2 linked regions of the Lonchura striata genome follow. The protein of the gene in region 1 binds, or shares a complex with, the protein of each later gene. Links are inferred from orthologs where the notes say so. Each region holds a gene or a part of one and is shown in the gene's direction. Other genes may lie near its edges. The genes, in order: EDAR and EDA.

Region 1 (3,907 bases):
TGTCTGAGACATGGAAAATTGAAAGAATATTTTACATCTGGTAGGAGCAAAATGTTGCAACTGTATCTCAAGCACTTGCAATTTGGAGCTCTAAAACCCTCAGGGCGTGTTATGTGCTGCAACAATATAATTAAATAGGTTGTATCATGCTAAAAAAAAAACCAATTTGAGCCTCCTTTTCCTGTCTCTTTTTTCACCTTAGAAAGAAATCCAGTAATTGAACATTGAACATTAGCTCTTATTAAAAATTAATCATTTTAAGAAACTAAATAAGTTAGCATATGTGTTTGTAACATAGATTTCAGCCTTTCTTTTTCCCAACTGTTTCAATAGCTTTTTGAATATAAGGTTTGGCTCCTTCCTTGGGTTTAACATCTCAGATCTGCAGTTTGCGTATCAAGAACAAAAAACAGCCGATGCTTGCTAAAGAAAGGAGAGCAGCTCTGGGCTTTCTCAGTGCATCCACAGGAGCTGGCAAGGAAAGTGTAGCCCTGCTGATGTTCTGACTGCCCACACTGCTTGCCATTGGGTCACTCCCCAGCTCTGCTTTGGCTGCTCCATACAGTTCTTTCCCAGACAAACCTGATGGAATGTGGTCAAGCACTAATTGGTGTGGACACAAGCTGGGCTACTTCATTTCAGTGATCAAGACTACCTCCTTCATTTAGTGGTCAATATGCAGCCCTCCATTCCCTCATGGGAAGATGTCTCAGCAAGCCAAGATGGTTCCTCATCTTTTACAGATTTTTGTAAATATGGCAAGAGTGGATCCCCTCCTGCCATTGTCTTCTCAAAGAGAGGAAAGAGATGTGCAGAAAGGGGGTGTGGTGCCTGTGTGTGCACAACTGCACGTGCACATCTCCCCCTCTCTTTGTTTAGACCTCTGGGCATTGCTCCCATGTAACCTTTGTTCTGCTTATGAGCCCTTCTGTTCTTATTTTGGCAACACACACAAATATTTACTCATGTTCATAAACAAACACCAATTCTATCTTTTCAGGTAAAATATCAAGAGAGCATGGCTCACCTGGGTGAACGTAAATGGACTCACGTGTTCCCTTTCCTGATGGTAGGTATTTCTGTGTATTTCTGTGTGCACATGTCTCTATAGTGTGCAAAGATAACAGGGTTCTGCTTGGGTTATTCATAACCACCCGTGAATGGTAGCAGACCCACACATGACCTAGGGACTGAACCTCAATGTAGATAATTTTCATTCCATAAAACGCCTGAGAATGTGCAGTTTAAACCGTGGCTGCTAGGAAGGAGGAGAAGGAGAAAGACCTAGGATGGAGCAGAGACAGAAAGTGCTAGAAGAGCACATTAGCGTGGCTGTGACATGAAGCACAGCCCTATTGTGGTTGAGGCCTGAGGCAGTGCATTATCTCTGGTTGTTATAGTTGTCCCTTGCAGTCACATTTATGAAGGCTCATTTAGAGCTGGGAGTCATGAGGGTGTGAACTCGGGCATTTGCTTGTGTGGGAGAGCATGTGAGTTACAAGGTCAGGAACTGTGACCTTCAGTGTTTTAAGGAGTGGCAGTGCCAAACAAGCATGAATGTCAGTCTCTGAGAAACTCTTGGAAATACCAGGTTGCTGAAACCTGCATCTGTTTCCATTTAAATAGTGTCACCACTTCTGCTTCTGAGCTTTAGGTGTTTCACTCTGCAGTGCTGGCCCTGCTGAACAGCAGCAAATGTGCAAGGGGAGGGGGTAAGGCATGGAGGACGATGGCAGTGGAAGTGACAGTGCTCTGGAATGCTCTCTGGTGACAGGTCTCCCTGGTGTACTCTGCCAGTGCCGAATACTCCAACTGCGGTGAGAACGAGTACTACAACCAGACCACTGGCATGTGCCACGACTGCCCCAAGTGTGAGCCGGGTGAAGAGCCTTACATGGTAATGCCAGCTTCTTCTGCTGCTGGGGGAACAAATCAAGCACTAAATGCAAAAAACCCAAATGCTTTGTTGTGTGGAAGTAATAGGTAGGAAAGGAAATAGGAAAGCTGAGGATGCCTAAGCAGGAGCACTCACACCTCCAAGTGTGCCATGGGAGTGAGGCACCTTGCATGCACGCCAGCAACCCATATCCCAGGAGCAGCCTGTTAAAAAAGATACTGTAAAAATGGAAAGGTTAAAGTTCCATACACAGTCTCTGAGTCTGTTCTCATCTCAGTAGCTATTTAGAATCTGATGCTGACATTCCAACACAGAGTGATAAATTGGTCAGTCTGGCTTGCTTGCCCTCACACTGACAAGTTACTTTTGCTCTCCTGCTAAGATATTCTGGCACTAGAGGAACTTGGATGTTTGGATGTTTCCGCAATATTTTAAATTATGGTTCCCAAGTAACCATTTGATTTACAGTAGGTAATTATTGCTTATTAGAAAAAAAAAATTACTGAAATCTTGTTTGGTTTTAATGGGATAAACATCCTATTGCAAGCATTTCACACAGTTGGTAGTCCCAAACAAGTATGTTTGAATAACCAGTTTGGTTTAGTTTTATTTAATCTAAATGCAATGTTCAGCTGGGACATGTGATTTCAGAGGTTACAAAATCTTATTCAAACATTGCCTTTTGGGTTCCCTCTGGGGTTTCCTAACCTGAAACTGCTGATAGCCCTGCTGCAGCTGTGTTTCTCCTGTAGGAGTCATCGCTATTCTTCCATTTTCAGTTCACTTTCTATCCAAGCAGCATCTGAAATTCACTTCCACAGTTTGCTGGATTATGGTAGAAGTAGTATGGGGGGGCCACTCACAAACAGTGTGATTCTCCAGTTCCCCTTCTCCCTTTCCAGCACACAGAGTGCTGCATCCTCATATCCCTGCATGGTCTTTTTAGGATAGACACTAACAGGCCAAAGGACAGACTCCTTTCCCTTTGTGCTGCAAGGCCAATGGGGCAGGCTGTGAACATTCTCTTTTGCTAGAAGTTGGTGTGCAGCACAAGACTGCTTTTGAGTGACTCTGTGTTGTTGCAGACATGTGGATATGGCACCAAAGATGAGGACTATGGCTGCGTCCCCTGCCCTTCTGAGAAGTTTTCCAAAGGAGGTTACCAGATATGCAGACGGCACAAGGACTGCGAGGGCTTTTTCCGAGCCACAGTCATGACACCTGGGGATCAGGAGAATGATGCGGAGTGTGGTCCTTGTCTCCCAGGGTAAGGACTTATCCACGGACCTCTGCTCTACCCAAGGAGAGGTAGAGGAGGTATGGGATACTCCGTCTACTGGGAGGTACTTTTCAGATGTCAAAATCTCTGACAGCCTTTCCATGTCAAAGTTGACTGTAGGTACAATACTGGTAAATTATGGTTTTTCATCTCTACTAAAACAATACATTTAAATATTTCAAAAGCATTGGTGAGTTTAATAAACACAGAATCGTAAAATAGTTAGGCCTGGAAGGGACCCTAAAGAAGATGTTTTTAATCTTACTGAAATCTCACTGTTTGGAACAACTAGATAACTTTTTCTTCTTACTAGAAATGGAAAGCGAACAAGCTCAGCTATGCAGTGCCATTTTAAACACTCAAAGAAATCCATCTTGACCTCCAGCTGTAGCTTCAGAGGGTCACCTTCTGAGTCCTGCCTCCTGCATATGAGCTGCATGACAGCACCTTAAATACCCTGTATGGTTTATGCTGGCACTACAGCATGTTTAGGGGCATAAAATATCACTTCTCCAGATATGAACAGCTGGCATATTTGTCAGTAGTTGACAGTATTAGCCAACATAGCTGTTCAGTGAGATTTACCAAGGCATTTTAGTCTCTGGGGTCCTTTCTACACAACATAATGGAGTCTGAGGAGCTGTTAATGTAGTGTTGTTCAGAGTAAAAACAAGTTTCAGGTCTGGCTGAAGGGGCTTAAAATAGGTGCTGTTTATTAAGTCCATCTTTGT
Region 2 (3,907 bases), on another chromosome or scaffold:
ACTGCAGGAAAACAAGGCCAGGAAGGGCTGGAAAAGGTCATCCTCCTCCCCAAAGGCAGGACAAGGCCACCATGGGATTCTTCATGGCTGTGATCTGTGGCATGAAGACCCCACAAATTCTCAGACGATGTGTTCCAGGCCTTGGAAGGGTTTCTCACGGAAGGGACAACCTCATGGGAAACTCACCCTGCCCCCAGGTCTGGGAGCACAGACCTGGCACGGGACCACCCAGCTCTGGGAGCCCACCCAGGGGGTTCAGCAGGACCCATGGCAGGGGCGAGCCGGTGACAATCCTTGGTGCTGGCCCTTCCTGGAGGTCTGGGGTTGGCTCTGACATCTCCCTGCACTGCTGACCCCTCTGCATCTGTGATCCTCCAAAACCAGCTGGAATCCTCCTCTGCAGTGCCACCTCCTCTGCGGCCATTAACACCTCGCATTTAACTCCTCTTTTACTGTTCCAAATCACATCCTATCCTCTTCATTCCACCTCTCAAGTATGTTCAGAACATCTCTAATTCCTCAATTCAAATTTCCTGGCAGCCTGTGAGCATCACACAGCACCTTCATCATCTCATTATCCCTCTCGTTATCAATTAAACCCCCTGATTGGAAATAGAACCAGCACAGGCTTTGCCAGCTCCTTTTGATGAGCTTTAAGGTTCTTCCAAACCAAACCAGGTGTGATTCGATACCACCCTTCCCTCTCCAAATCCGCTCCTCTCCCTGGTTCACCCTTTCCCAGGTTGTTTTCCAGCTTCCATTAGTCTCCAGCAGTGACAACCAACCTTTAAAAAGCTGGAGAGGGCAGCGACAGCTGCCCCAAAATGCTCACACACCCCTGGGCACCCCGGGCTCGGCCGTGTCCCCGGGCAGAGCGGCGACAACGCTGCCCCTGCCCGGGAATCGGCGGCGTTTGGTGCCCGCTCTCAGGAATCCTCCGCTGGCTGCGGAGACAGCGACTGCCGGGACGGACCGGGACCGGGATCGGGTCCATCCATAGCGGGACCGGTATAGGGTCCATCCATACCGGGATTGGGATCGGGATGGGAATGTCGGCCGGGACCGGGACAGGGCCCTCCTGAACCGCGCTGGCCACGGGCCCAGTCATCACCGCGCCTGTCCGTAACAGGACAGGGACAGGGATAAAGGGCCGGGATCGGGACTGGGACCGGGATCGGGACCGGGATCAGGATCGGGCTCGCAGCGGGGCGCGGCTCCAGCCGATGTGACTCCGCCCTCTAATTTGCATAACTCCGCCCACCGCGCTGCCGTCGCTGCCCAGGCCCCGCCCCCTCCCCGCCCAGGCCCCGCCCCCGGCCGGACGCTGAGGCGGCGCTGCCGCACCGAGCCCCGCCCGGCCCCGCCGAGCCCCGCCCGGCCCCGCCCGTCCCCACCGAGCCCCGCCGGCCCCGCCCGGCCCCGCCGGCCCCGCCCCCGGGCCGGCCCCGCCCCCTGGCGGGGCGCTGGCGGCCCGGCCGCGCAGCCCGCGGTGCCCGGCGCGCCCCGGGAGCAGCAGCGCTGGGGCCGCTCCGCGCCGCTCCGCCCGAGCGCACCATGGGCGCGGAGCGCAGGGCGGCGGCGCCGGCTCCCCGCGGCTGCGCCTGCGGCGGCGGCGGCGGCAGCTGGCGGCTCTTCCTCGGCTTCTTCGCGCTGTCGCTGGCGCTGCACGTCCTGACGCTGGGCTGTTACCTGGAGCTGCGCTCCGAGCTCCGCCGCGACCGCGGCCCGCAGCCCGCGGCCCCGCCGCGCCGGGACGGGACGGCGGCGGCGCCCGGAGCCCCGGCCGGGGGCCGCCCGCAGCGCGCGGCCGAGGGCGCGGAGCGGCGCCAGCAGGTGGGTCCGGCCGGCGGCGGGGGCACCGCGGGGGCTCCGCGCCGCTCGGGGCCGCCCCCCGGCTCCATCCCCGCGCTCGGGAGCCGCGGCCCGGGGCGCTTCGGAGCGGCCCCTCGGGGGAGTTTGCTGGGAGAAGTGGGGAAAAGCCCCGAGCTCGCGGTGCGGGGGTGAGGCGCGGGGGGAGCTCGTCTGGGCTGGGGGTGACGGGCTGCGGGGCCGCCCGTGTTCCACCTGCTGCTCGCCGTCTCCTTGTCGCGACGGACCCGCCGTGAGTCCCGACAGCGCAGCCTTGGCCGGGGGCAGCGGCTCTGCCCCGGCGCTTGCGGGGTGCCCCGGGGCGCTGCTGCCGGGGAGCCCCGCACGGCTCGGCCCCGCAGCCGCCGGACGCGCCGGGTCCCGGTCCCGCACGGCCTCCGCTCGCTCCCCTCGCTCCTCCCGCGCTCAGACTGCGCTTCTCCCCCAGCCCAGGTGCTTCATCTTTTGGGCGATGCCTCGGTGTCCCCCCGCAGCAGCCGCTCAGCCTCTGCGGCACAGGTGGGCAGCAGCCTCCCGGTTGTCCCCGCCGGTGTCCCCAGCCCTTGCGGGGGTCGCCTGTCCCGAGAGCCTCTGGGAGAGCCGGAGCGGAGCTGGGGCCTCCTCTCGCAAACTTAGCTCATTTTTTCCAGGCACGAAACTTCGCTGCGAGCAGGATAAGCTGGAGGAAGGAGTTTCCTCCCCTCCGAGCCTCCCGAGCGGATGGCCCGCTCCCCCAAGGTGCCGGGTGGCTTTGCCGCGGAGTCTCAGCGGGGTTTCGGGGGAGATGCCAAGCCCTGCCTCGGCACCCCGGCGGTCCTCGCCCGGCCGGTTATCAGTGTGTGGGGGGAAGGACAAAAATAGCTTTGATAAAGCGGCGAGTTTGGAACTCTTCCTCTCACTTGGCAGCGGGAGCCGTTCCGCCGCGCCGGCCTCGGCTGCCCCCGGGAAAGCCGGGCTTGCGCTTCCTTCGCTGCCTGGATCCCGCAGCTTCCCGTGACAAATCCAAGTCCAGCGTTGAACCGGAGGGAAGCCGAGCTCCCGGGTCATCGCTCTGCCCTCGCTGCTCCTCGAGCGGTGTCAACACAGAGCGAGCCGGAGCGGTTTGATGTCGTGCTGGGATTCCTGGGTTGCCTTGGAATAGCGCGCGGCTGGAGTGCCTTTCGTGTTATCGTGCTGGATCTGTTTAGTCTTTCGAGCTCTTCTTTCCAGCGAGTGTATAGTGAAATACCAGGGCAAATACTTGAGGCATTCATAAATTACAGCGTTAGATAATTTGTCTCTGGATGCGGACGGAGCTCCGAGCGTCGCTCGCTGCAGCTGACGGACTCCAGATAAGGTAACGCTAATTATTTATTTCTTTATTCTACATCTGGCCTGTCAGGCTTGAGATGAAATATTCTTTGGGGCACATTGAAGCAGTTGGGCTGGAGGGAAAGGTTGCTGGTAGTGGGGACACGGGGAAGGAAGGCTGAGCATCCCGAGCTGCTCCGCTGCTGTGACAGCGCATGATTAATGGGGTTTGTAGTGGTGCTGCTCACCCTTTCTCACTGATTTTTCTGCCTTGCAGCTAAAAACAAGCACTTTGGGTGTCCTGGGGTGCTGTGAGTTCATCTCTTCAGTGATTAAAACAGTGAAATCAGGGGTTTGCAATCAGCTTTATTTAGAAAGTTATTGTCCAGCTTTGGGGTACGTGTGGGGTTCCCAGCAGCCCTTCTAAGCTGTGCTGCTGATAAACTCAGTGCGATCCCATACATGTGATGCTTGCATAAATTGGGCTGAAATTACTAAATAATTAATTCAAGTGATGTGATCAATGACATTTCTCTCCTGAGGACCATGGTCAGAGTTCATTTGCGGGGGACCAATGACCACAGAGCTGTGAGCCCTCAAATGTCCTTCAGCTGCTGAGGTGTCCTCAGTGAAGAGGCCGAGTGCTGTGTGTGTTGTGGTTGTACAAATTTAAACCCAAAAGACACTCCCCTTCCTGACCCTTTTTTCTTTATTTTAAAATTATTTTATTTCCCCCCTCCCTTCCTGACCTGAGGCAGGAGGAAGAGGA

The links.
Region 2: the proteins of EDAR (region 1) and EDA are in contact, whole or in part, in a crystal structure (PDB 7X9G), measured with the Homo sapiens proteins. The link is inferred for Lonchura striata from reciprocal best matches to the Homo sapiens genes EDAR and EDA. Residues at the interface, in NP_071731.1 of Homo sapiens: Glu55, Pro56, Tyr57, Leu58, Lys78, Ile86, Arg88, Arg89, His90, Asp92, Glu94, Gly95, Phe97, Val134; in NP_001390.1 of Homo sapiens: Gln256, Ser258, Ala259, Gln261, Asp265, Asp273, Arg289, Tyr310, Tyr311, Lys340, Thr341, Tyr343, Ser370.

Annotation. Positions count from the first base shown.
Region 1 is NC_134604.1:90,405,026-90,408,932, reverse strand, and holds the start of EDAR (tumor necrosis factor receptor superfamily member EDAR), read left to right. Parts: upstream 1-1,006; 5' UTR 1,007-1,018; coding exon 1,019-1,069; intron 1,070-1,774; coding exon 1,775-1,897; intron 1,898-2,982; coding exon 2,983-3,164; intron 3,165-3,907. UniProt on the Homo sapiens protein: Receptor for EDA isoform A1, but not for EDA isoform A2. Mediates the activation of NF-kappa-B and JNK. May promote caspase-independent cell death.
Region 2 is NC_134616.1:5,474,529-5,478,435, reverse strand, and holds the start of EDA (ectodysplasin-A), read left to right. Parts: upstream 1-1,554; coding exon 1,555-1,833; intron 1,834-3,907. UniProt on the Homo sapiens protein: Cytokine which is involved in epithelial-mesenchymal signaling during morphogenesis of ectodermal organs. Functions as a ligand activating the DEATH-domain containing receptors EDAR and EDA2R. May also play a role in cell adhesion.